Anolis sagrei: one gene and its partner. The protein of the gene in region 2 purifies or fractionates together with the protein of the main gene of each other region. This does not show direct contact. Links are inferred from orthologs where the notes say so. Each region holds a gene or a part of one and is shown on either strand. Other genes may lie near its edges.

Region 1 (7,066 bases), on a different chromosome or scaffold from region 2:
CTTTCAAATCTATGATACTATGTGTGTGCGTCTCATATTTATCTATCTATCTATCTATATCTATGGATTGGTGGCTCTTTGTCAGAAGGGCTTTGATTACATTTTCTTGCCCTGGTGAAGACAGCTGGACTGGTTGGCCTTAAGTATTTTCTGTTGGCCATGGGGGTTCTGTGTGGGAAGTTTGCCCCAATTCTATCATTGGTGGCGTTCAGAATGCTCTTTGATTGTAGATGAACTATAAATCCCACTAAATACAACTCCCAAATGTCAAGGTCTATTTTCCCCAAACCTCATCTGTGTTCGTATTTGGGCATATGGAATATTCGTGCCAAGTTTGGTCCATACCCATCATTGTTTGAGTCCACTGTGCTCTCTGGATATAGATGAACTACAACTCCCAAACTCAAGGTCAATGCCCACCAAATCCTTCTAGTGTTTTCTGTTGGTCATGGGAGTTCTGTGTGCCACATTTGGTTAAATTCCATCATTGGTGGAGTTCAGAACGCTCTTTGATTGTATGTGAACTATAAATCCCAGCAAGTACAACTCCCAAATGACAAAATCATAATTTTTTGAGTGATGGGCACTCCTTGTGTTGCAAGATGTTTTGTTGCCAATTTTGATGTGATTTTGTTCATTGGTTCTTTTGTTTTTAAGGTACTCATTATGCACAGAGCATCCATATATATATATGGCAGGGGATGGCTAGTTTTAAATAGAAGTATGTGTATATATATTATTATTATTTGTTGAAATTCCCTAAAACCCATTAAAGACTGTATAAAGGGCCTGGACAAACTTGGTCCCTCCCTCCAGGTGTTTTGGACTTCAACTCCCACAATTCCTTTTTTAAAAAAAATATATTTTTATTGTTTTATCATAGTTATTACATTTGTTATACATTTGTTTATAGCAGTTACATATTATTCAGCACACTCTTTAACATATAGTCTTATTCTGCTTAAGCATTTCCCCCCTTTTTTTCCCACCACTGTGCTTCCCTCCCCCCAACTCAAGCCACAACTTTTACATATCATTTGTCCAAAATCTCATTTCTTCTTGTGGCGGTAAATTTTTTAAACCATTTACAACAAATTTTCCCCATACAACATCAAAATCACTTTTTTTCCATATACCTTTTTTTAACTTTTAATATACATGTCAGCTTATCGTTTATTGCCAGTTTCCATGCTTCCTTGTACCACTCCTCTATTTGTATATTTATTTCTTTTTTCCAGTTCCTTGCTATGAGCAGTCTTGCTATTGTTAATAAGTTTGTTATCACTTCTTTATCCTCCTTTTTCAATTGTTTATTGTTATATAATGATAATAAAGCTATACTAGGACTTTTCTCAATTTTCATATACATTATCTCTCTTATTTCTCTAAATACTTTCTCCCAAACATTACTTACATATTTACATTGCTACCACATATGTATGTATGTTCCTGGTTCTTGACATCCTCTCCAACAATTTTTGAATTACTTTTATTTATATATTCTATTTTTACTGGTGTCAAGATACCACTTCCATATTAGCTTATTATAATAATTTTCTTGAACCCGTATTGATAATTCTTTTAAATGTCTTTGTCTCCATAATTGTTGCCACTCTGTTTCGTTTATTTTTATCCCTAAATCTTCTTCCCAAACCTCTTTGAGGGTGTTGTTTTTTGTGTTTCCTTCCTTTATTTCAATTATGATCTTATATATTTTACTAGTTCAGTGGTTCTCAACCTTCCTAATGCCGTGACCCCTTAATACAGTCCCTCATGTGGTGGTGACCCCCAACCATAATATTGTTTTCATTGCTACTTCATAACAGTCATTTTACTACAGTTATAATATAATGTAAATATATAATGTAAATATCTGATATGCAGGATGCATTTTCATTCACTGGACCAAACTGGGCACAAATACCCAATACACTCAAATGTGAATGCTAGTGGGGTTGGAGGAGGATTGATTTTGTAATTTGGGAGTTGTAGTTGCTGGGATTTATAGTTCACTTATCAAAGAGCATTCTGAACTCCACCAGCAATGGATTTGAACCAAACTTGGCTCCCATGACCAATGGAAAACACTGGAAGGGTTTGATGGTCATTGACCTTGAGTTTGGGAGTTGTAGTTCACCTATATCCAGAGAGCAGTGTGGACTCATGCATTGGTGGATCTGGACCAAACTTGGCACGAATACTCAATATGCCCAAATGTGAACACTGGTGGCGTCTGGGGGAAATAGATCTTGACATTTGGGAGTTGTAGTTGCTGGGATTTATAGTTCATTACAATCAAAGAACATTCTGAACTCCACCAACGATAGAATTGGCTCAAACTTCCCACATGGAATCCCCATGACCATCAGAAAATACTGTGTTTTCTTATGGTCTTTGGTGACCCCTCTGACACCCCCTCGCGACCCCCAGGTTGAGAAACACTGACCTAGTTCTTTCTCTCAAATTTTCATGCTCTTCTACAACCCTTCCATTCTGTATTATTTGTTCAAATTGGTTAAGTTTGCTTCCATAAGCGGCTGAGGGGGTAAAGGAAAGGACCTGAGGCTGTTAGGAATTGTGGGAGTTGTAGTCCAAAACACCTGGAAGGAGGGACCAAGTTTGCCCAGGCCTGCTGTAAAATGTGGCTTTCAAAGACTACAAAGCCCCTCCTGGCTCGCTCCTGATCCACTTCCTTCTGAAAAGAGAGGCTTCAGCGTGGGCCTGTGTGATACTCCAGAGCCTGCTCCTCCTCCGCCGCCATTTTGGAGCCGCGGCCCAGTGACCCTTGGCGGGCTCCTCTTCTTCGGAGGGCTCCGCCGCGGCTTCCCTGCCGCCACGCCGAGGCCTAGCTTCCGAGCGTCACGCCGGAAAGGCCCCCTCCGCTCCCTGGCGCGCCCGCGGCCCCGATGGGCTTACCTTCCGCCCGGACGAAGCCACGGCGCTCGCTCGCCCGCCCGCTCGCCTCAACGCTCTCCTCCGCGCCTGAGAGAAAAGGGGCGGGGCCAACGGCCGCAGAGGCCACGCCCCCTCCGCTCACTCGCGCGCCCCTCCCCGCCACCTCATTGTCACACTCCACAAAGGAGCCCGCTGCCGCCTGTGGCCACGCCCCTCATCCCTCTCTCTCTTTTCATTGGAGGAGGGACTGAACCTTCGCTTCCTATTGGTGGGCAAGGAAAGGAGGGGTTTTCTCTCTGTGATCGAATGTGCCTTCAGAGTTGCTATGGTTACTAGCCCCTCCCGCCATTCATTGCTCCGCTCTCGGCTTCCTATTGGCGGTTGCTGGATTAGCCCCGCCCCTTCGCTGTAAGTGGCTGGCGCCAGGAAAGGCAAGTTTCAAATGCCTGCCAAAGCTTATGAGAAACTATAAACTACACAGAGAAGCCATTGAAACTACACATATAAACTACACAGAGAAGCCATTGAAACCCATACGTTTTGCATGGTTACCTAATGCTTTAGCTTTGCTCGTGGACCAGATGGTTTGTTTGTTTTAATTATAGTATTCTCCACTCATTGTTTCTGTTTTAATGGATTTTGAAACATTATTATTGTTGTTAACACATATTATTATATTCTGCCAGTAATGTCAACGACTTAAATCAAGACATAGTTTTCTTAGATCTACAGAGACACTCGCTGGAACACCCCAGCAAGCGAGAGTCCAAAAGTGGCAGGCCCAAACTCAGCACCTCAATTCATGGGTGATACCAGATGAGAGACTCCCCCCTGGGCACTCAGAAGACTGGGTGACTTGGAAGGCACTGAACAGACTGCGCTCTGGCACCACGAGATGCAGAGCCAATCTTAAGAAATGGGGCTACAGGGTGGAAACCTCGTCATGCGAGTGCGGAGAAGAGCAAACCACTGACCACCTGCTGCAATGCACCCTGAGCCCTGCCATATGCACAATGGAGGACCTTCTTGCGGCAACACCAGAGGCACTCCAAGTGGCCAGATCCTGGTCAAAGGACATTTAACCAACTACCAAGTTTGCAAAATCTGTGTGTTTTTTTCTTTTTCTTTTTAATCTGTGTGTTTGTTTTGCTCTGTTAGAATTGTAATACAATGGTATGGTTGCTGATGACACGATAAATAAAGTAATGTCACTCAAGGTAATACATAGCATAGCAATTAACAATTATACAAAAGTATACATAACTCTATTTCTGCTTCATTGACTACTCTAAAGCCTTTGACTGTGTGGATCATAATAAATTGTGGCAAGTTCTTGGTGGGATGGGCATACCAAGCCACCTTGTCTCTCTCCTGAGGAATCTGTACAAGGACCAAGTAGCAACAGTCAGAACTGACCACGGAACAACAGACTGGTTCAAGATTGGGAAAGGCGTACGGCAAGGCTGCATACTCTCACCCAACCTTTTTAACTTGTATGCAGAACACATCATGCGATGTGCGGGGCTGGATGAATGCAAAGCTGGGGTGAAAATTGCTGGAAGAAACATTAACAACCTCAGATATGCAGATGACACCACTCTGATGGCCGAAAGCGAGGAGGAGCTGAAGAGCCTTCTAATCAAGGTGAAAGAAGAAAGCACAAAAGCTGGGTTGCAGCTAAACGTCAAAAAAACCAAGATCATGGCAACAAGAATGATTGACAACTGGAAAATAGAGGGAGAAAATGTGGAGGCCGTGACAGACTTTGTATTTCTAGGTGCAAAGATTACTGCAAATGCAGACTGTGGCCAGGAAATCAGAAGACGCTTACTTCTTGGGAGGAGAGCAATGTCCAGTCTCAATAAAATAGTAAAGAGTAGAGACATCAGACTGGCAACAAAGATCCGTCTAGTCAAAGCCATGGTATTCCCTGTAGTAACCTACGGATGTGAGAGCTGGACCTTAGGGAAGGCTGAGCGAAGGAAGATGCTTTTGAGCTGTGGTGTTGGAGGAAAGCTCTGAGAGTGCCTTGGACTGCGAGAAGATCCAACCAGTCCATCCTCCAGGAAATAAAGCCCGGCTGCTCACTGGAAGGAAGGATACTAGAGACAAAGTTGAAGTACTTTGGCCACATCATGAGGAGATAGCAAAGCCTGGAGAAGACAATTATGCTGGGGAAAGTGGAAGGTAAAAGGAAGAGGGGCCGACCAAGGGCAAGATGGATGGATGGCATCCTTGAAGAGACTGAACTGACCTTGAAGAAGCTGGTGGTGGTGACGGCCGACAGGGAGCTCTGGCGTGGGCTGGTCCATGAGGTCACGAAGAGTCGGAGATGACTGAATGAATGAACAACAACAAATTCTTCCATATGGCAATGGCTGCAAGAATTGTACTAGCAAGAAAATGGAAGAATAAAGAGAAACCAACGGTGGAAGAATGGATGTTTAAACTCCTAGACATAATAAATATGGACACTCTAACACAGCACCTGGAATATAAACAGACGACTGGCATAGCCAGGACAGATTGGTCTCCAATCAAAAAATACTTCAATGTCAACCAGACCTAGACATGTGAGAGTCAAGACTAGAAAATAATACTAACACTAACAATGTTATATGGGGCAAAATCAGTAATTAAGATCACGAACTCTCCCCGACCCATTTCCTACTCCCTGTACTCCCTTCACTCACCTCTACCCCCTCCCCCACCCCAATCCTTATCATTTGCTTTTACGTAATTGTTGTGTCGACGATTCTCATAACATGGATGTATCCCCCATGTAGAAAACTCTTAATAAAAATTTTAATTTTTTTTCCTGCTTCTTGGCAGGGGGTTGGACTTGATGGCCCTCGAAGTCTCTTCCAACTATGATACTATGATTTGGGGACATGGAGGTCTCATTCATAAGCTTGCCATAAGTCGAAGGTGACTTGATGGCAGTTAGGAGCAACTTTCCTTCCGCTGTTCTTGGGTGGTTCTGCTGCATTTCTTCTCTTCTTCTCCCTTTCCCTTCCAGCTTGCCTGGCCTGTTCTTGCACCTTTGCCAATCCTTTGGCTGCTTCTTCTGCTGAGCTTGGCTTGAAAGGCCTTGGGCGCTTTCCAGAGTTGGCTGGCTGCCTTTTCTGATCAGGAGGGAGGAGGGGAAAGGCAGGTTTGCTCCAGGCGACAAGGAGAAAAGAGGAGAGAAAGGCAGCGGGAGGCAGCAGCCTTGCAGCTCCTGACTTGCAGCTTTCTTTGGGAAGGGAAGAGGAGGTTCAAAAACTGGAAACAGAAAGGCAGGAGGAAACGGCCAGAGATTTCTATCTAAGCACCCAGGAAAGGCAAACAAGCTCAACGCGATAGAAAGAAGGGAAGAAAGGAGAAAAAGGGGAATCTGTAAACACCAAAAGATACAGTATTTCAGTATGTATTGGCCATCAATGGGGTGCTGTTACAATATTTCCAAACTCACACTACAGCTTCATTCAATCAATCCCATAAAGCAGAGATTTCCAAACATTTCATGTTGGTGACACACGTTTTAGACCTGCATCATTTCGTGGCACACTCATTCAGTTTTTCTCTCAAATTGGAGATTAAACCTGTTGGGAGCATGTAAAAATCAGTTCGGGACTGTGTTATTTGTTTATTTATTTGCTGTCTTTGTATACCGCCCTTCTCAGCCCTCAGGCGACTCAGGGCGGTTTACAGAGGCAATGACTCGATGCCCAATACACCATAATAATAATAATAATCATCATCATCATCTTTATTTATACCCCCCACCATCTCCCCAATGGGGACTCATGGTGGCTAACATGAGGTCAAGCCCAAAAAATACAGTACAACTGTCGCAACTTAGGGTAGTTTTCACCTTGCTCAAGACACCACCATACACCAAAGCTGTAGGTTTTGTAGTTTATTGAGAAAAAGCAAAATCAAAACAGAGAAATAAATATGCAAAAATTCAATAGGCAAAACAGAGTCTTAAATGCAAAGACAAGCTTCACAAGATCCACAGGCAAATAGCATGAAGCATAATCCCTTAGCAATGTCAAACAAGAGTCCATGGCAAACAGGTAAAATCAGGATCAGAATCAAGTCTCAAAGGAGCCAGAGGTGTTCCGCAAAAGCCAAGGTAATTCCACAGAAGTTAATGGGTAAGAAGCAACATTGGGCTGACAAGAAA
Region 2 (7,133 bases):
ACTGGATTTAATGTGTAATTAACAAATTTTGGGAAATATAGAAAGAATAAAGCCTATGAAATTCTTAAATAATAGCAGAATGTTAACATGTGCAAAGAACAAATGAGACAGAACATTTTAGTAGGGACTTTGGCAGGCATGTAGCCGGGGGGGGGGGGGGGGGGGCTTGGGGGGCTTCAGCCCCCCCCCCCCCCGAAATTCTCATGGTGGTTCGCGAAAAGCCCTTACTGGTGCATTATTTAAACTGTTATGTTTATTCATATCATGATCTGATCACCATACTCAATATATCCCATATGCATGGGGGTATTGGGGTAATGATACAAAAGGTTTGCTAGGCTAGACCCTCTTTCACTCAGACTCAGCCCCCCCCAAAAACTCAGCCCCCCCCGAACCCCCCCCCTGAAATGTTTTACCCCCCCCCCCCCCCCCCCGAAATAAAATCCTGGCTATGGGCCTGGACTTTGGGTTCCTTTCTTTTCTGAGTGGTGGAATGTTTTAAGTTGGCAATGGAAGACCATATCGTCCAAGTAATCATGTTCATTTGTTGCCTTTGTATGCAAGCTTTCCTTCAGGTCATTCAAGGTGATAAAAGTGCTCCATCGGAGAGAAAAAAATAATCCAAATGCCAGTGTCATGTAATACCTTTATTAGAACCAACCAAAGCACTGTATACTCAGCAAATATGTCAAATTTACAATAATCTTTTTCAAAATGAAGGTTAAGCAGAGAAAAGTGAAGTACAGCAAAATGTTTGGTGGGCAGAATGAAAAAGCAGTCCTCAAGGACTAGCTGCATCCCGTGAAAAGACAAAGCTAGAGAAGAGTTGTGTTTTTATAGCTATTTGTAAATCTAGAGATAGGCCAGATAGGGAGTAAGATACAGAACTAGCCAGTGCTTGTCCTCAGGCAAGACCATCCATGCTCCAATTTCCTTTCCCAGCACATCCCAGAATAGATTTCCTAACTTGCATATTAGGGGACATGTTCTTTGTAAGTAGGCATGCCTTCAGGTTTTTAATTTCCATTTATGTCATGCCTTTCCTGCTGCTTGATCCTCCCTGATTTATCCTCACAGCCTTGTGAGATAAGTCAGGCTGACAGATAGTGACAGATAGTCTGTGGTCACTTGTTGAGCCTCAGGACAGAATGGGAGTCTGAACCAGTTTTCTCAATCCTAGTCCAACACTGTAAGCACTATGCCACTCTGTCTCTAGTTAAGTAACAGTCTGGTGTATAATTACTAGGTTGTCATCCAGCTAAAAGAACCCGAGAGGAAGGTTACCATTGTTGGGGTACCAGTGGTATGGCATAAAACCATGTGCTCTCCATAAGGTAAAGGTTTCCCCTGGCATTAAGTCTAGTCATGTCTGACTCTGGAGGGTGGTGCTCATCTCCATTTCGAAGCTGAAGAGCTGGAATTGTCCATCGACACCTCCAAGGTCATGTGGACAGCATAATTGCATGGAGCCCCATTACCTTCTCACCAGAGCGGTACCTATTGATCAACTCACATTCACATGTTTTTGAACTACTAGGTAGGCAGAAGCTGGGCCTAACAGCAGGAGCTCACCCCGCTCCCTGTCAACAAGTTCAGCAGCTCAGCAGCTTAATTTGCTGTGCCACCAGCACAGTGCTCTCAGTAGGAGGTTTCTATTTATCTTGGCTGGTCCAGCTTGTGTCAGGTATCAATTACCAAATGGGTACCATTTTCTTTCCCTCCAATCTTGACATTAAAATAAAATGAGATTCAAAATAGCAGAGTGGTACTTCATTTTTACTTCTATTTTCAAGCACGGTAATGTCTATGGCCGACACTACTTTCCAATCTTCCAGGCATCAATTTTCAAAGCTGTATCGGATTCAGAGGGAGTCTTATATTTTTAAATCAGACCACTTGTGGGACTTGTATTTGTGATTTGTGATTAGATGTGTGACTGATGTTAGTCTTGTGGTTGTGTGCCTTTTCCCTGATTCAACTATGACTCTATAATGAAGGCATTGCAGGGTTTTCTTGTCAAGATTTGTTGGGCTGGAGCACCACAGGCTTCCTTGGAGGGGAGTGTGGCCTGCCCAAGGTCACCCATTCAGCAGATCTCCGTGGCTTGGGGGGGGGGGGGGATTTGAATCCTGGCCTCCAGAGGAGCAGCCTAAGGTTCAAAGCACTATACCAAGTTGATTCTCTTAGAACAATGGTTCCCAACCTGTGGTCCATGGACCACCAGTGGTCCCCAAGGACTAAAATATAGTCTGTGACCTCACTGTTACTACACCGTTGCAACAAGAGCAACTGGTCTCGCAAAACCCTCTCAGAGTGCCTACACACAAAACGCATGACAACAAGCCTACTGACTGATGCTTCTTCCCCTCCACCCCCACACAGCGGAGCCATTCCATGTGGCACCTGGAAGTGGGGGTGCCTTGGTCTCTTTGTTTTTCAACCTGTTAATTGATGTGCTGAATCAGAAATTGCATTAGATAGACCACATCAGCTCTAGATTATTAAATATGGTTTTTTGTAGACAAGCAGATGGTGGCTACTGGATGGCATATGTTCTGTATCAGAAACTAGAACTGATGTGGTCTATCCAATGCAATTTTCTGAATCAGCACCCCAAATGACCAAATCAAATCTAAAGTTGACCAAAGACTGATTCAAAACCCTTTTGGTAGTAATGTTGAAGAGTAGTCCCTGGTCAAGTGGCCCCTGGTCAAGAGGTCCTTGGTCAAAATGGTCCCTGGACAAGGGGTCTCCAGTCAAGAAGTCCCTGGTCAAAGTAGACCCTGGTCAAGAAGTCCCCGGTCAAAGTGGTCCCTGGTTGAGAGGTCCCTGGTCAAAGTGGTCCCTGGTCAAAGAGATCCCTGGTCAAAAGGTCCCTAGTCAAGAGGTCCCTGGTCAAAGGGGTCCCTGGTCAAGAGGTCCCTGGTCAAGAGGTCCCTGGTTAAGAGGTCCCTGGTCAAGAAGTCCTTGGTCAAAGTGGTCTTTGGTCAAAGTGGTCCCTGTTCAAGAAGTCCCTGGTCAAGAGGTTCCTGGTCAAACTGGTCCCTGGTCAAGAGGTCCCTGGTCAAAGAGATCCCCGGTGAAGAGGTCCCTGGTGAAGAGGTCCCTGGTCAAGTGGTCCCTGGTCAAAGTGGTCCTTGGTCAAGAAGTCCCTAGTCAAGGGGTCCCTGGTCAAAGTGGTCCCTGGTCAAGAGGTCCCTGGTCAAAGTGGTCCCTGGTCAAAGTGGTCCCTGGTCAAAGAGATCCCTGGTCAAGTGGTCCCTGATCAAAGTGGTCCCTTGTCAAGAAGTCCTTGGTCAAAGTGGTTCCTGGTCAAGAGGTCCTTGGTCAAAGGAATCCCTGGTCAAGACGTCCCTAGTCAAGAGGTCCTGGTCAAAGTGGTCCTTGGTCAAGGAATGGTTGGAAACCACCATCTTTAGAGTTTTGTGTCCTGCTCAAGTACTTACCTGGGATATGGGACGGCTTTTTCAAACACTTGGGCTTTTTAAAACCCTTTCCTCTTCAAGTTCTTCTGCGTCCAGGTAAAAATGGGGTTTTTTACTGTCTATATGACAATAAAAGCAGCCTAAGGATGGAAGCTCCTCAGGCAGGCAACAAGCGTCCCTCCCACCCCCAAAGGGCCCCGCTGCCCAAATTCCAACGCATTGAGATCAATACCGGACACCACTGCGCTCCGGGGATGGATGGGAAAGGGGGGGGGGGAGGCGAGAGAAAGGACGGGTAGAGGACAGGGGGGGGGGGGAGAGAAAGCCCCTTTGGGAGAGCGCTGTCCTTCCTTCCCTCCCTCCGTCCCTGCCGCGCCCCCGGAGCTCCCTTTCCTCTGGACTGGAGCCTCCTTCCCTGGCTGCGCCCCGCAGCCCGCCGCCCCCTCCTCCTAGGCCTGGCCTTGCCCAAACGGCCATTCCCCTCGCTCCGTCCCTCTCCCGGGGAGGCAACGCTGAGAAGCGCTACCGCAGTGCCGCCGTTGCTGCCGCTGCCGGGGCCGAGTCTCGGGCCTGCCGCTGCCGCCGTTGCCGCGGTTGGCCGAAGCCGAGCTGTATGGGAGGAGCCTCGGGGTGTGAATGCACCAGCAGGCTCCAGCAGAGCGCCGCTGCCGCTGCCGCAACTAAGCCCTAGGACTCGCTCTTTTGCAGCAGCAGCAGAAGGAGCAGCAGCGGCAGCGCGCGCGCTCGGTGGCAGGTCCCGGCGCGTTGCAGCAGTCAGCCGCAGCCAAGCCTCGCCTGCCGCAGAGAGAGAGAGAGAGAGAGAAGGAGAGAGAGAGACCTCTTCCTCCTCCTCCTCCTCCTCCTCCGCCTGCCTTTCCCGCTCTCCTTCCGCACCGCGGGGAGGAAAGAAGCAAGGAAGGAAGGAAGGAAGGAAGGAGACTGGGGAGAGCATCTTGCGGGGCCGGGGGCGTCTCGCATGCCGAGGAGAGCAGCGGCGGCGGCGGGGCCAGCGGGGGAACCTGTTGAGGAGGGAGAAGAGGAGGAGGAGGAGGAAGGCGCCCGGCTGCGGCAGCACTGCGCCCTGGGAGCCGGGATTGCAGCAGCCACCTCGCTGGGCATCGGGACCTGCGCCGCCGCCGCCGCCTTGCGAGGGAGAGGGAAAGGAGCCCGAGGAGGCGGAGGCAAAGGAAGAGGAAGCGTGTGCCTGGGCCTGGCCCTGCTCGCGCCCCGCCCGCGCGCCTGCCCCAAGCACCCGAGGGGCCCGTGGCCCTCCTCCTCGCCCTCCTCCTCGCCCTCCTCCCCCTCCGCCCTGCGCCTCCCCAGCATCATCATCCCCGGCTGGAGGCGGAGGCGGGCGGCACCTTCGCGCCAGCGCCAGGAAGAGAAAGCCACTTGGACCTTTGCCACCGCCGCAGGAGGAGGAGGAGGTGAAAGCTCGCTTGCTTGCCCTTTTCAAAGCGTAACCTCTTCTTTATTCCTTCCCTCCCCCCCTCCTTCGGTTTGATTTTTTTCCTCCTCTCCGCCCCCCTTTTTGCAGAGAGGCAGGAGGAGCATGTTGGCCTCCCGGCTGCTCCCCCGCTTCGCGCCTCTCCGCTGATCTCGGTGGTGGCGGGGCGATGATGGATACTTGCCTGCTTGCTCTCCCTTCCCACAAAAGTAAGCCCGCTGTCAATGGAGGAGGACATTGATACCCGCAAGATAAACAACAGTTTCCTGCGCGATCACAGCTATGCAACCGAAGGTAACACAAGGCCCGGCGGGGTAGGATTCAGACAGAGAGAGAGAGAGAGAAGGGGAAAGGGAGGCGGGGGGGGGGGGGGCGAGGAAGGCAGGCAGGCAGGCAGGCGGGGGAGGGCAAGCAGGAATTCAGGGGCTGCACCCTTCGGTTCCGCTGCGGGAGGCGCCTCCGCCGGCGGCAATGGGTTGTGGTCCGGGCTGCGCGGCGCGGCGTGGGGCGGGTTGGGGCGGCCGAGCCTCGGGTGAAGCGTGGGCTGCTTCGGGGACCCGCCTCGGAGCCCGGGCCGCCAAGGCGCGCGCGCCATAATGCAGTGATGCCAGGAAAGCCGGAGACTCCCGCAGAAGAAGCAGGAGGAGGAGAAGCAGCAGCAGCAGCAGCAGGTGGATCAGGGCGGAAGGGCCTTCAGTGGGGCCAGGAGGTTAAGGATTCCCCCCCCCCCCTCAACACAGCTTCATTGGGTTGGATTCTGGTCCCATTTGGCAACCTCCCTTGTGAACTAGCCATTGGCTTCCCTTTCCTTTGCTCAGGGGAAGAGGTGGCTTAGAACAGCAGGGCTTACGGCAGTGCGTTTTAGGGTGGGGGGGGGGGGGTAAGCTGGGCAGTGCAATAATCCGTCCGTCCTTCCCCAAAGGATGGATCCTGATGATGACAGTCCCGACCTGCCCCTTGGCTGGGCTATTCCTTTGGCCACTGATCTCCCCGTGACTCTCTCGCCCCCTTCCCTCTCTCCAGCTTCATGATTGCTTAGGGAAGCAGGGCTTATGGCAGTTGACTGGGGAGGGGAAGAGAGGGATCCGCATTAGGAAAGCTCCACGATGCCACGATTCTCCAAGGCCTTGGATGGATCCTGATGATGACGGACCCAACTTGCCCCTTGGCTGGGCTACTCCTTTGAGCTCCGAACCCCCACTCCCCGTGGCTCAATCACCCCCAGCCCTTCCCAGCAATGGGCCAACAGCTACCCTTGTGAACCAGCCACTGGCTGCATTAGGAAAGCTCCACAATGCAACGATCCTCCAAGGCCTTGGATGGATCTTGATGATGACGGACCCAACTTGCCCCTTGGCTGGGCTATTCCTTTGAGTTCCGAACCCCCACTCCCCGTGGCTCAATCACCCCCATCCCTCCCCAGCAATGGGCCATCAGCTTCCCTTGTGAACCAGCCACTGGCTTCCTTTGGCTCCCTCTCCATTCCTCAGGGAAAGTGTGAAATCAATTCATGGTGGCTTAGAGAAGCTGAGCTTATAGCATCTGACTGGAGCGGGGGGGGGGGGGGGGGAGCTGCATTATGAAAGCTTCACAATGCCACAATCCTCCCAGCCCATTCCAAAGGCCTTGGATGGATCCTGATCATGACAGGCCCAAGCTCTACGCAGTGAGATGGCAAGACTGCGGTTAAGACAGGTGGTGACAGGCTTCTTGTGGGCAGGAATGCAGCAATAATCTTGCAGCAGTCCATTTTGCTGAATCAACTGGGAGCGGAAATGAAAAGGGGGGGGGGGGGGGAGATGCAAAAGTGAGCAAGTGGCTGAGAAATGACCTGAAGAGGGGAAAGACTTCTCTGTGGTGTATGCGTGTGGAGAGGACGGAAGAGAAGGAGGACAAGAAGGAGTAGTGGCCCAGGGCATGTTCATCATAGCACATGACGCTTGGCTTCTTCTCCTCCCTCCCTCCCTCCTGCAATCCATCTTCTGCAAGCCAGGACTGAGAATATTTGGCCTTAGCTTAAGAGATAAAATGGAGAGGCAGAATGACTTGGGAGGAAATGGCCAGATATAGGTGGAACAGGGTGGAGTGGATCTGTGTGCATTTTCTGTGTTTGTCTAAGCAACAGAACTAGATTGTTTGAAGACAAAACATGGTTGTCCTTGTGTTCCAGTAGCCATAGAAATGAGGAAGCCTTTCATGTGGAAACCAGGCCCATCAACTGGGGTGGATATAACAATCTGGTTTTTTATGCTTATTCACAT

What was found.
Region 1: the proteins of PPP2R2B (region 2) and CDCA4 purify together in Homo sapiens (affinity purification with mass spectrometry; 4 studies listed by BioGRID and IntAct, with this or other methods). This does not show direct contact. The link is inferred for Anolis sagrei from reciprocal best matches to the Homo sapiens genes PPP2R2B and CDCA4.

What each region holds. Positions count from the first base shown.
Region 1 is NC_090021.1:328,645,944-328,653,009, forward strand, and holds the start of CDCA4 (cell division cycle-associated protein 4), read right to left. Parts: upstream 3,022-7,066; 5' UTR 2,917-3,021; intron 1-2,916. UniProt on the Homo sapiens protein: May participate in the regulation of cell proliferation through the E2F/RB pathway. May be involved in molecular regulation of hematopoietic stem cells and progenitor cell lineage commitment and differentiation.
Region 2 is NC_090022.1:98,183,562-98,190,694, reverse strand, and holds the start of PPP2R2B (serine/threonine-protein phosphatase 2A 55 kDa regulatory subunit B beta isoform), read left to right. Parts: upstream 1-4,121; 5' UTR 4,122-4,401; coding exon 4,402-4,852; exon of another isoform or gene 4,853-5,096; coding exon of another isoform or gene 5,097-5,166; intron 5,167-5,278; exon of another isoform or gene 5,279-5,476; coding exon of another isoform or gene 5,477-5,543; intron 5,544-7,133. UniProt on the Homo sapiens protein: The B regulatory subunit might modulate substrate selectivity and catalytic activity, and might also direct the localization of the catalytic enzyme to a particular subcellular compartment.